3 linked regions of the Neurospora crassa OR74A genome follow. The protein of the gene in region 3 binds, or shares a complex with, the protein of the main gene of each other region. Links are inferred from orthologs where the notes say so. Each region holds a gene or a part of one and is shown on either strand. Other genes may lie near its edges. The genes, in order: NCU07057, NCU17114 and NCU02804.

Evidence for each region.
Region 1: NCU02804 (region 3) and NCU07057 share a complex: the UniProt entries of both Schizosaccharomyces pombe proteins name them as parts of the mitochondrial large ribosomal subunit. The link is inferred for Neurospora crassa OR74A from reciprocal best matches to the Schizosaccharomyces pombe genes mrpl25 and mrpl27.
Region 2: NCU02804 (region 3) and NCU17114 share a complex: the UniProt entries of both Schizosaccharomyces pombe proteins name them as parts of the mitochondrial large ribosomal subunit. The link is inferred for Neurospora crassa OR74A from reciprocal best matches to the Schizosaccharomyces pombe genes mrpl25 and mrpl39.

Annotation. Positions count from the first base shown.
Region 1 is NC_026506.1:333,929-337,243, forward strand, and holds NCU07057 (hypothetical protein), read left to right. Parts: upstream 1-1,174; 5' UTR 1,175-1,455; coding exon 1,456-1,644; intron 1,645-1,784; coding exon 1,785-1,907; 3' UTR 1,908-2,680; downstream 2,681-3,315. Other genes in the region: NCU07058 (small nucleolar ribonucleoprotein complex subunit Utp14), read right to left, coding at 1-747; NCU17062 (hypothetical protein), read left to right, coding at 2,974-3,315. UniProt on the Schizosaccharomyces pombe protein: Component of the mitochondrial ribosome (mitoribosome), a dedicated translation machinery responsible for the synthesis of mitochondrial genome-encoded proteins, including at least some of the essential transmembrane subunits of the mitochondrial respiratory chain.
Region 2 is NC_026506.1:2,293,065-2,296,016, forward strand, and holds NCU17114 (hypothetical protein), read left to right. Parts: upstream 1-830; 5' UTR 831-1,119; coding exon 1,120-1,132; intron 1,133-1,263; coding exon 1,264-1,380; intron 1,381-1,803; coding exon 1,804-1,853; 3' UTR 1,854-2,359; downstream 2,360-2,952. Other genes in the region: NCU03974 (hypothetical protein), read right to left, coding at 2,669-2,952. UniProt on the Schizosaccharomyces pombe protein: Component of the mitochondrial ribosome (mitoribosome), a dedicated translation machinery responsible for the synthesis of mitochondrial genome-encoded proteins, including at least some of the essential transmembrane subunits of the mitochondrial respiratory chain.
Region 3 is NC_026501.1:9,064,452-9,067,036, reverse strand, and holds NCU02804 (mitochondrial 60S ribosomal protein L25), read left to right. Parts: upstream 1-1,054; 5' UTR 1,055-1,246; coding exon 1,247-1,641; intron 1,642-1,729; coding exon 1,730-1,790; intron 1,791-1,851; coding exon 1,852-1,887; 3' UTR 1,888-2,060; downstream 2,061-2,585. Other genes in the region: NCU02803 (pre-mRNA-splicing ATP-dependent RNA helicase prp-28), read right to left, coding at 1-741; NCU02805 (diphthamide biosynthesis protein 4), read left to right, coding at 2,479-2,585. UniProt on the Schizosaccharomyces pombe protein: Component of the mitochondrial ribosome (mitoribosome), a dedicated translation machinery responsible for the synthesis of mitochondrial genome-encoded proteins, including at least some of the essential transmembrane subunits of the mitochondrial respiratory chain.

The sequences.
Region 1 (3,315 bases), on a different chromosome or scaffold from region 3:
GGAGATCATCTTTTGGAGGTCGTCGAGCTTGGAAGGGTCTTCCATATCGTCGTCACTGTCTTCGCTTTCGCTCGATTCGCTGTCCGCGTCGTCTTCCGATCCTGACTCCTCTTCGCCCTCCTCCTCCTCGCTGCTTTCATACTGATCCAGTGCTGTGGCGAGATCGATGGCGTCGGAACCGAGCGACTCCAAGTCATCGTCCTCATCTTCGTCCTCTTCCTCCTCATCACTGTCGTTTCCACCCTTCTTCGCCTTCTTGCCCTTCTTGTTGGAGCTGCTCCCGCTGAAGGCATAGCCATCGAACTTTTCCTCGTCGCTCTCACCAAAGGCCTCATCAGAGTCGAGTTCGGAATCTTCGTCATCAGCGCCTACACCAACGTGCCACTCCTCGCCATCGCTGTCCTCGCCACCGTCGGAGAAGCCTTCGAAATCGTCGCTGTTTTTGGCCTTCTTCTTTTGTGGCCTGGCGTCCTCGAGATCTTCCTCATCCTCGTCTCCGTCCTCATCGTCTTCGTCGTCGCCATCTCGTTGTCTCTTCTGGGGGCGCTCTTCGGGCTCGTCGAGGTCTCGTGTGCGGACGCCCTTGGCTTTCTTTTGGGGGACTTGTTCGGCGGCAATAGCGAAGGCGTCGAGGACGTTGTTTCTGGATTTCCTATCGGCAGTCTTGTTGTTGACTCTGTGCTTGGGACGCCCTCCGCCGCCCGACTTGGGCATTAGAGGCCTGCCGTGGGCTTGACGGCCGGGCATTTTGCTGGTATTTGAGAATTGACTGATTGGAAGTCGGAAGGTAATTCAGTCAATTAAGTTCGAGGTCGAGCAAGCAAAAATTGGGTGATGAGATTGTCGACGAAGTCCAGTGGTTGGATGGAATGAATCGATGGATGTCAATGTCCAACTTTTGCCTGCACGGGTCCTGGAGGTCGAAGTGGTCAGGTCCCTTCAACGGCAACTCCCACCAAGCCTTCAACTTTCTGCCAGTGAACAAGCTCCCCCGAAACTTTTTCTGCCGCCTCTGTAATCGATAATTTTCGGGCGGTGAGGGCGCAACACCCACCCATTTTGCGGGGCCGCAGCAGGCTACAGGGGTACCTGTTTCTCCCAGCCTCACGTCATTGGCTCAATTGAGCTCCAAACTTCTGAAATGGCTCCACCTCAACCCGGCGCGGCCCCGGACGTCTTTGCGATTTCTCGATTCCAACCCCGTCGCCCGTCGCCCGTTGCCCGTCGCCGTCCGTGTTGTCCAGCGCCAGTCCGAGTCCGAGTCCGAGTCCCGTCTCCGTTCCTGTCGCGTGCGCCGGATCTTCAACACTCTAAAGCGGATCCCGTCTCCGTCCCACTTGCGCCCACCTCAACCACCCTCACCACAGCGAGGTGCTTCCACCACCCAGATCACCGACCACAAAAAGCAATTCTCCGTCGTCGTTGCCCCGCAAAGCGCAATCCTCCTAGCCCACCATGCAGCCCACTCGCATCCTCCAAGGTCTCAAGTACCGCAAGTTGCGCCTGACCACCAAGGACGTCAACAAGGGTTTCTACAAGGGTAACCGCACCGGTTCCATGGGTACGCACACCAGCTACGGTACCTACAAGATCGACTACACCAAGGTCCGCACCTATGTGTGCCCGGACCTGACCGGTTTCAAGGTGGGTGGTCCTCTATTTCCGTCCGGGTTTGGGGTTGGAATGGGATGTGTTGGGGGATCTGGTGCTAGGGGAGGGACCGAGAATGGAGGACAAAAGAGAATAAAAAAGAATTATGCTAACAAGATCCAACAACAACAAAGCTCACCCCCTTCGTCTCCAAGACCATCCGCCCCGTCCACGACCAGTTCCCCGGCGACAAGCTCGGCCCCAAGAACCCCGCCACTTACCTTGCTCGCTGGAAGTCGGAGAACGGTCTCGACTAAACGGTCGTCATTTTTTCAAGGAGGGAGGAGGAGGACATTACGATACCAGACCACGGCGAGGAAATGGAGCGAGGCTCACTCAACTATCAAACTACCAAACGCAATATATACCCAAGTTCTGATTACATTCCGAAAGCCTGCCGACACAGACCCGTTCGAAGGACCACGAGCCACTCTCCACTGTACATTATATGACCTGACCACCAGGAATCAACCACCTAGCAGCTCCACTGTTCTGGGTCATATGTGAAATTGGAACATGTCCAGGTTCTCTGCCTTTGGAGTCGCCACGCTGCTACCTAGGCTGATGGTCTCGACATTCCTACCATTGAGATACAGCCTGATAGCTAACCATACGTATTCAAAGAACACTCGCCTTCAGAGCTGCCTACGATACATCTCCCCTTTCGGATTGGTTCTTTGAATTTTGATGTCACGATGATCTCGCCGTCACATTTCTTTTCTTCTAGAAGAGACAAGGCCGATTTATATGACTATACCCAAAGGTGTCCAATGGTCCCTGTCCGAGATTCAAGGGGGTCTTGTTTCAGTTGTTAGATTATTGAGGGAGCGAGATCGGGGATTTTAATAGGGTTAGGGCTTAGGTCACTCTTGTTGATTGTTGCCTAACCTCTATTTGCCCTTTGCCTGGTCGCCTTTGAGAAGGTGCGTTGTGTGCCTAGCAATGAGGGGTATTTCTACCTAGAGGTAGTTTCGCGGGTTTCTTCCTTTCCTTACCTTCAGTTACTTTATTCTAAGCAACCACCGCCTCCCAGAAGAACCTTTCTCTGGCATGAAGCAATTCACCTTCGGCTCAAGTTTCACGACATACAAAGGGATCACCGAATTCAAACGAGCGAATCCCGTCGAGAAAGTTCGCCCCAACTCGCCAGTGCGCCCCATCAATCCCATTTGTTTTGCATGAACTTGTCTATGGTCTTTCTTTCCCTTGAATCTCCTGGCCACCCAGCTCTTCCTGAAGCTGCAAGCCTCTCCTCATTCACTTGATACCTTGACATGTCATCTGCCCATCCCACAACAGACCTAATCATAATCAACCAACACCATGAAACCATCTGCCCACTTCAACCATGGACCGATCGACAATGCCTTGGCAGAGGAACCCGTCATGAAGTCTCGCTACCCCCCCAGGCAGCTTAACAAGCTCTGTGATGGTTGCCAAGCAGTGTTCCCTACGACTGGGCCGTGGTTCTGGGACCTGGAAGACGCCGTGCTTGCCGACGAAGATGATTGGCACCTGCGGGATTTCAGCATTTGTGACCTTCACGAGTCGGCAGGGGCGGGCTGTCACTTGTGCAGGGTCTTTCTGGACTCCCTACTTCCACCCGATATGATCGTGGGAAACCGTCAAGGATACGTTGAGTGGTACGAGGCTAACCAAAAAATC
Region 2 (2,952 bases), on a different chromosome or scaffold from region 3:
AAAGACACTATGAATGGGGGGGGGGGGGGGGGGGGGGAAAGATAGCACGCAGAAGAACACACGAACTTTTTTTTTTTTTTCTTTTTTTCATCAAATGTAGCAACCCAAACTGAACTAATGAGCTCCGAAACAGGAGCACGGAAAGCGGTGTGGTCTAGAACTTTTTGTTACAAAAGAGTCTTCGTTCCGGTCCGGTTTTGCTCCCGCGATCCATTTCTGGCGGGGTCGCAGAGGTCCGAATCGAGACTACAGTCTTGGTACAGTATGGAGAGTCAATCAAACAAATGCCATATTCTGATTCGGACTGCTATCCGCCAGACGAGGCGGTATCGCTGAGCTGTTTCGTAGCCGCCAAGATAAGCTGCTGCTGTGCTGTGCTGCCTGACAAGCCAACGTTAAATCCGGGCCGTTGTATTCTACCTCTAGAGGTAGCTGCGGCATGTGTAGGACCAGTGGACTATATCTAGTATCCAGGAACTATCCTTTTCGTCGACTTACACAGTTCCCTTCCAGCGCCTTGTTGGCGGGACGGGCATGATTACAGCCACAGTGCTGTCAACGGTCACCATGTTGAAATTACGGTACACAAATATCAAATTTATGTTCTTGAATACATCTCTCTCAGTGTACAAGCCCAGCAAAGGTGTTGATGTTGTCAATAAATTTGTGTGAGATGTTCTGATAGATATCACGCCCGTTGTGTTTTGGCCAAGGCCTCTGGGGTTCCTCGGTGAGCTCTCAGCTCACTACACTCAGCTTGTTCCTCACCTTGCCTTCACCGATCCTACAAGTACACTAAACCGCGGGCAGCCACCTGCCAAGCCCAGCTAGGAGCGCACACGACCCACCCACAGCCCCACCACGGCCCACGCACCCCCGGCGGGCCGGCAGGCAAAATCTACAATCGCAATCGCAAGAAGCGCGGACGACCCGACGTCGATTGGAGAGCTTCCGGCGCAAAGACCGTGCTCCGTGAATCCGCCCGCCCTCCGCCCGCAGTTTGCGAACCTCTCCGTCCGGACGAGCCCCAGCCCGTCGCCCGTCGCCGTACCGCACTTGATCCAGTCCAGTCCAGGCGCGCCGTTGCACACCACAACAGCGCAACAAAAGTCGTTCAACATGGCGAAGAAGGGTAATCGACTCCATCCTCACCCGTGTGTCTGCAATTACTGCTTTGTTTTCCTAAAGGGAAAAGCGATGCAATGGGGAAACCGGAAACCGAAAACAGAAGACGATAGTTGCTGATAGGTAAACAACAAACAGCCAAGTCCCGCATCATTAACGTGCGCCTGATCTCAATGGCCATGACGGGTTATTTCTACACCTTCACCCGTCCCCGTACCTCGCTGCCTATGAGCATGCTGAAATACGATCCGATCGGTATGCGCATATCCTCTCCCCTCATTCCTATCTACCTCTTTCGCTTCCAACCACCTACATGATTGATTCGGCGGACACGACGACACGGGCATGATATGGAACTCTTTTTGGTTGCGGGCTTTCTCGATTTGCACGATTCGAAACACCCCAATACGCTTCGTCGAACGGACCTTGGGAAGCTCGCTTGGGACTGGGACTAGGACTGGGATCAGGCTGGGACGCAACAGTTCAAAGACTCGGACGATGGCATAACGTACGGACCTTCGAGAAAAGAAAAAAAAAAAAGCAACCAGCCAACCAACCGGCCAACAGAGAAGAGAGGAGGGGACGGAAGAAACACTTGCCTACGACAGACAATTTTTCCCAATCACGGATCTCGAAGAGGAAGGAATACCTACTAACCCTTTCGCCTCTCCACCATAGTTCGCCGCAAGGTCCTCTTCCTCGAACAGAAACGCAAGGGCAGGTCATAGATCGTTACTCGCCCCCGGGCCTAACGACCGTCGAACGACCGAGAGCCAGAGCGAGAACGCGGAGCCTGCGATACGGAATCAAAGAGCGTAGCGGCGAAGCAGCGACAAGTAAAAAGCTACAGCACCCCCTCCACGGATTACCACGTCACACCAAGTTACGATTTCGACCGGGTTGTGTTTCAAGCAGATCACCAGCAGACAATGGCCAGTGCTGGCGAGTGAGTTGGAGCTGGAGCTGGAGAGGGGGGTGGACCGGACCGGAACTGGACTGGATATATGGAGAAGAGAGGCGCAAGAATAAGATGGGGTCCCTCGTTCCATCCAGTCTCTGGTCGTGTATTATTACTGTACCACCGATCCATCAGTATATAACATCACCCTGTGAGTTATGGATTGGCACCATGGAGCGTTTGTTGCTTCTTCGCTCTACCGATGGGCCAGGTTGATTAGAGAATGTACAAGTCAAGAGATAAGCACAACGCCCCTCGGCCGTCGGCAATGCTGGGCGTGACCCAGGTTCACTGCCAAGTGGCTCTCCCTTCTCTTGTGTTGTGTGGTAAGGATAACTCTTCTATCGCGATCAGACAGTCTGTCATGACACCTCGACATCTTTGACTTTTCTTGCCATCGTACATCGCTTTATCTCATCTTTCTATATTTTCGTGGAAATCAAACTTTTCATTAGTCACAAGACCCGTCTCCCAACATTTTACAGGCGTTCTTTCACACTCTTCTCGTCGTATACATATTGAATCTCAATTCATTCGAAACACAGTCTCCAATCCACACAAATACGCCATGCATCGACATATGGATCATAACTTATTCCCAGGCGGAGGCAGAGGCAAGTCATCTCCGTCTTCTTTGTTTGCATTCTGCGAGAGGGTCATGGAGTCTTGGGTCTCATCATTGGCGCCCCCGTATCGCGAAAGTGGCTGGGACTGAGACCGTGATTGGGACTCGCCGTTCGTTTGACTGACCGAGTTGGTGTTTTCCGCAGGATCAACGGACCTTCTACTGCCATAAGTTCGAGTCGGTGCTGATCTGGGTGGCAAAAACCTGTTGGCACCGTTCATGACCTCGGGTAGGAGGCCAAATG
Region 3 (2,585 bases):
CTTGATCCGTCTGTGTTGTTCCAGGTATTGCCTGGCGCGCTCCTCGCCCGTCTCGGGATCGCCACGACGGATGGCTTCGGCCTTCCGCATCACCATCTCTTCCGTCATCTCGTAACCACCAAGTCGGACCAGAGGCTCTTGACGCTCTGCGTAGATGGGGTCGAAGGGTCGGCTAGTGTCGTCATCGGCATCCCAGTCAAAGTTGAACTTGTTCGCTGCCGTCCTCCTCCTCTTCTTCTTGGCCGAGAATGTGGACTGATTTACTACTGGACCCATGTAGCGGGCGCGCAGCTCTGCCTCGTCGTTCCTCTCCATCTTGGCTCGCTTCTCTTCGTCATCGTTGGGTGCGCCGCGTTTTGCGCCCCGTTGGTTTCTGTCTCGGTTATCTCTGTTGTCGCGATTGTCTCTGTAGTCCCGACCGTTGCTCATGCCGTTGGGTCCCCGGTCATCGTCGTACCGCATCGCCTTGGGTCCGGTTGGGATGTTTCGTTGAGGGTTGTGGTTGTGATGACTCTGGATACCGTCCATGCGGTTGCCGTTATGATTTGTTCCATTTGGTTGAGGCTTGGCTTCTTCCTTGCGCTTGCGTTCCTCTTCTTCCTTTGCCTTTTTCTCGGCTTCTAGCCTCTCTCGTTCCTTTTTGGGGATGAATCTTGGTTTCGCGGCGGCGGCTTCTTCCTCCTTCTTCTTGCGCAGCAGTGCTGCCAGGTCTGGGGGTTCCCGTCTTGATGTCGTGCTCATCGTGGTAGTGTATGGAGTTGGTGATGAATCGAAGGAAGAGACTGGTCGGAGGCGACAGTGTTGACAATAAACGTGTTGATTTCCAAGCAGTGCTGGGTTCCGGAATGGGGTTGTTGTTATGGCGAACTTGGGTGGTTCTGGGGTGCAGCAGCGGTGCAGCACAGTTCTCGACCCGCCCAAAAGTTATGTCACGGTTCAAGGTCGGTGATCCCTGTCGTGCCTGTTCAAGGGTCTCCACATGCCCCGCCTTACGCGGGGGGTTAAAGAGGTCGGGTTAGGGCTCAAAGTGTAACTTCCGGCTGTCGCTATGTACCGTTTCGCGACCTGGAACTTTTTCGCAGTTGGGGTCCCGTCGGCGGCCGATTGATCGCAAAGTTCCCCGTTCCGGTTCGTTCGAGCAATCCGGACCCTGTCACCTACGACAAAAACAAACAAACAAACAACCCCCCCCCCCACCTCGACCGACACAGTACCGCCAGCAGGCCGGTCGATCGACATCTTCACCATGGCGGCCACGGTGAAGCAGCACGTCCAGCTGGCGCTTTCGCTCCCACCGCGGTTGCGCACCTTCTTGGCCCGGTACCCGCCGGCCTCGATCCTGCCCGCCGGCGCCGACCCCGAGACGCACAAGACGCCCTACCAGGAGGAGAGCCCGAACCCGTTCATGCCCACCAAGCACCCAATCACCGGAAAGTGGCACAACCCCAAGTACTCGCTCAGGCGACAGGCCGAGCTCGTCAAGCTGGCCCAGGAACACGGCGTCGAGGAGCTGCTGCCCTTCACCCGCAAGCTCAACGAGGAGAAGCTACGGAAGAGAGTCGAGCTCGGTCTCCGTGTCAAGGGTACCGGTGTTGGAGAGAAGGTCAAGGGTCACAAGCACGAAAGGACACTGGTTGCCAAGTACGTTGTCGATCCTCGGCTGCTGCTGCTGCTGCTGCTGCTGGTTGGGAGGAAGTGGTGGTTTGCTGACGGTGGATTTCGCACACAGGATGGAGAAGAGGAGAGAGGCCATGCTGGCTATGCCCGACCTTATCCGGGAATGGAAAAAGGTAAGGATTGCGCCCAAACTCTTGCGGTTTGCACTCTTGTTAACCATGGGCTTCGCTACAGGTCGGCAAGAGGAACTGGACCAAGTTCCCCAAATAAGCGATCGGTTGTTGTCGCTTGTCGGGAAGATTACAACGAGAGTCACTGCCATGTCCATAGACTGTATCATCACCAACAATGTACAACAAATTTCAAGCCATTTGGAAGGGGATTGCCATCAATGTGGTTCTGTTTCCCGGTTGTTGACTGAACGTCCTCTGGCGTCTTATAAGACGGAGTTCCCCACTGTGGTTGGAGGCCGAGACGAGGTAATGTGTCTAACGGTGCAGTAAAATTTCCCCCCCGAATTTGTTTCTCTGAACAACTCACTTCACGATACCAGGCACACAACTAAGACTCAAACCACCACGTGAGAACCGACACATCACACATCCTCTTTTTTTTGCCTATTCACATTTCCTACTGTATACAGCAACATAACAAGGGCAGCGAGCGCAAAGAGACACGTGATTGCGGGATACAAACTTTTCTCTCGAAAGCTGCTCGACGCAAACCACCAACCTTTCACCACTTACACGTCGATACATTTCAACACCAAACCGGTCTCACAACCATACCATTTTATACCCGGGGCCGCACTACCAAACACCACATTGAACACCAAACCGCAAAACCACCAACACATCCAAGATGTCCCAACCAACCTTCTACGAAATCCTCTCCCTCTCACCCACCACCTCCGACCTCACCCCCGCCTCGATCAAACAAGCCTACCGCCGCGCCCTCCTCACCCACCA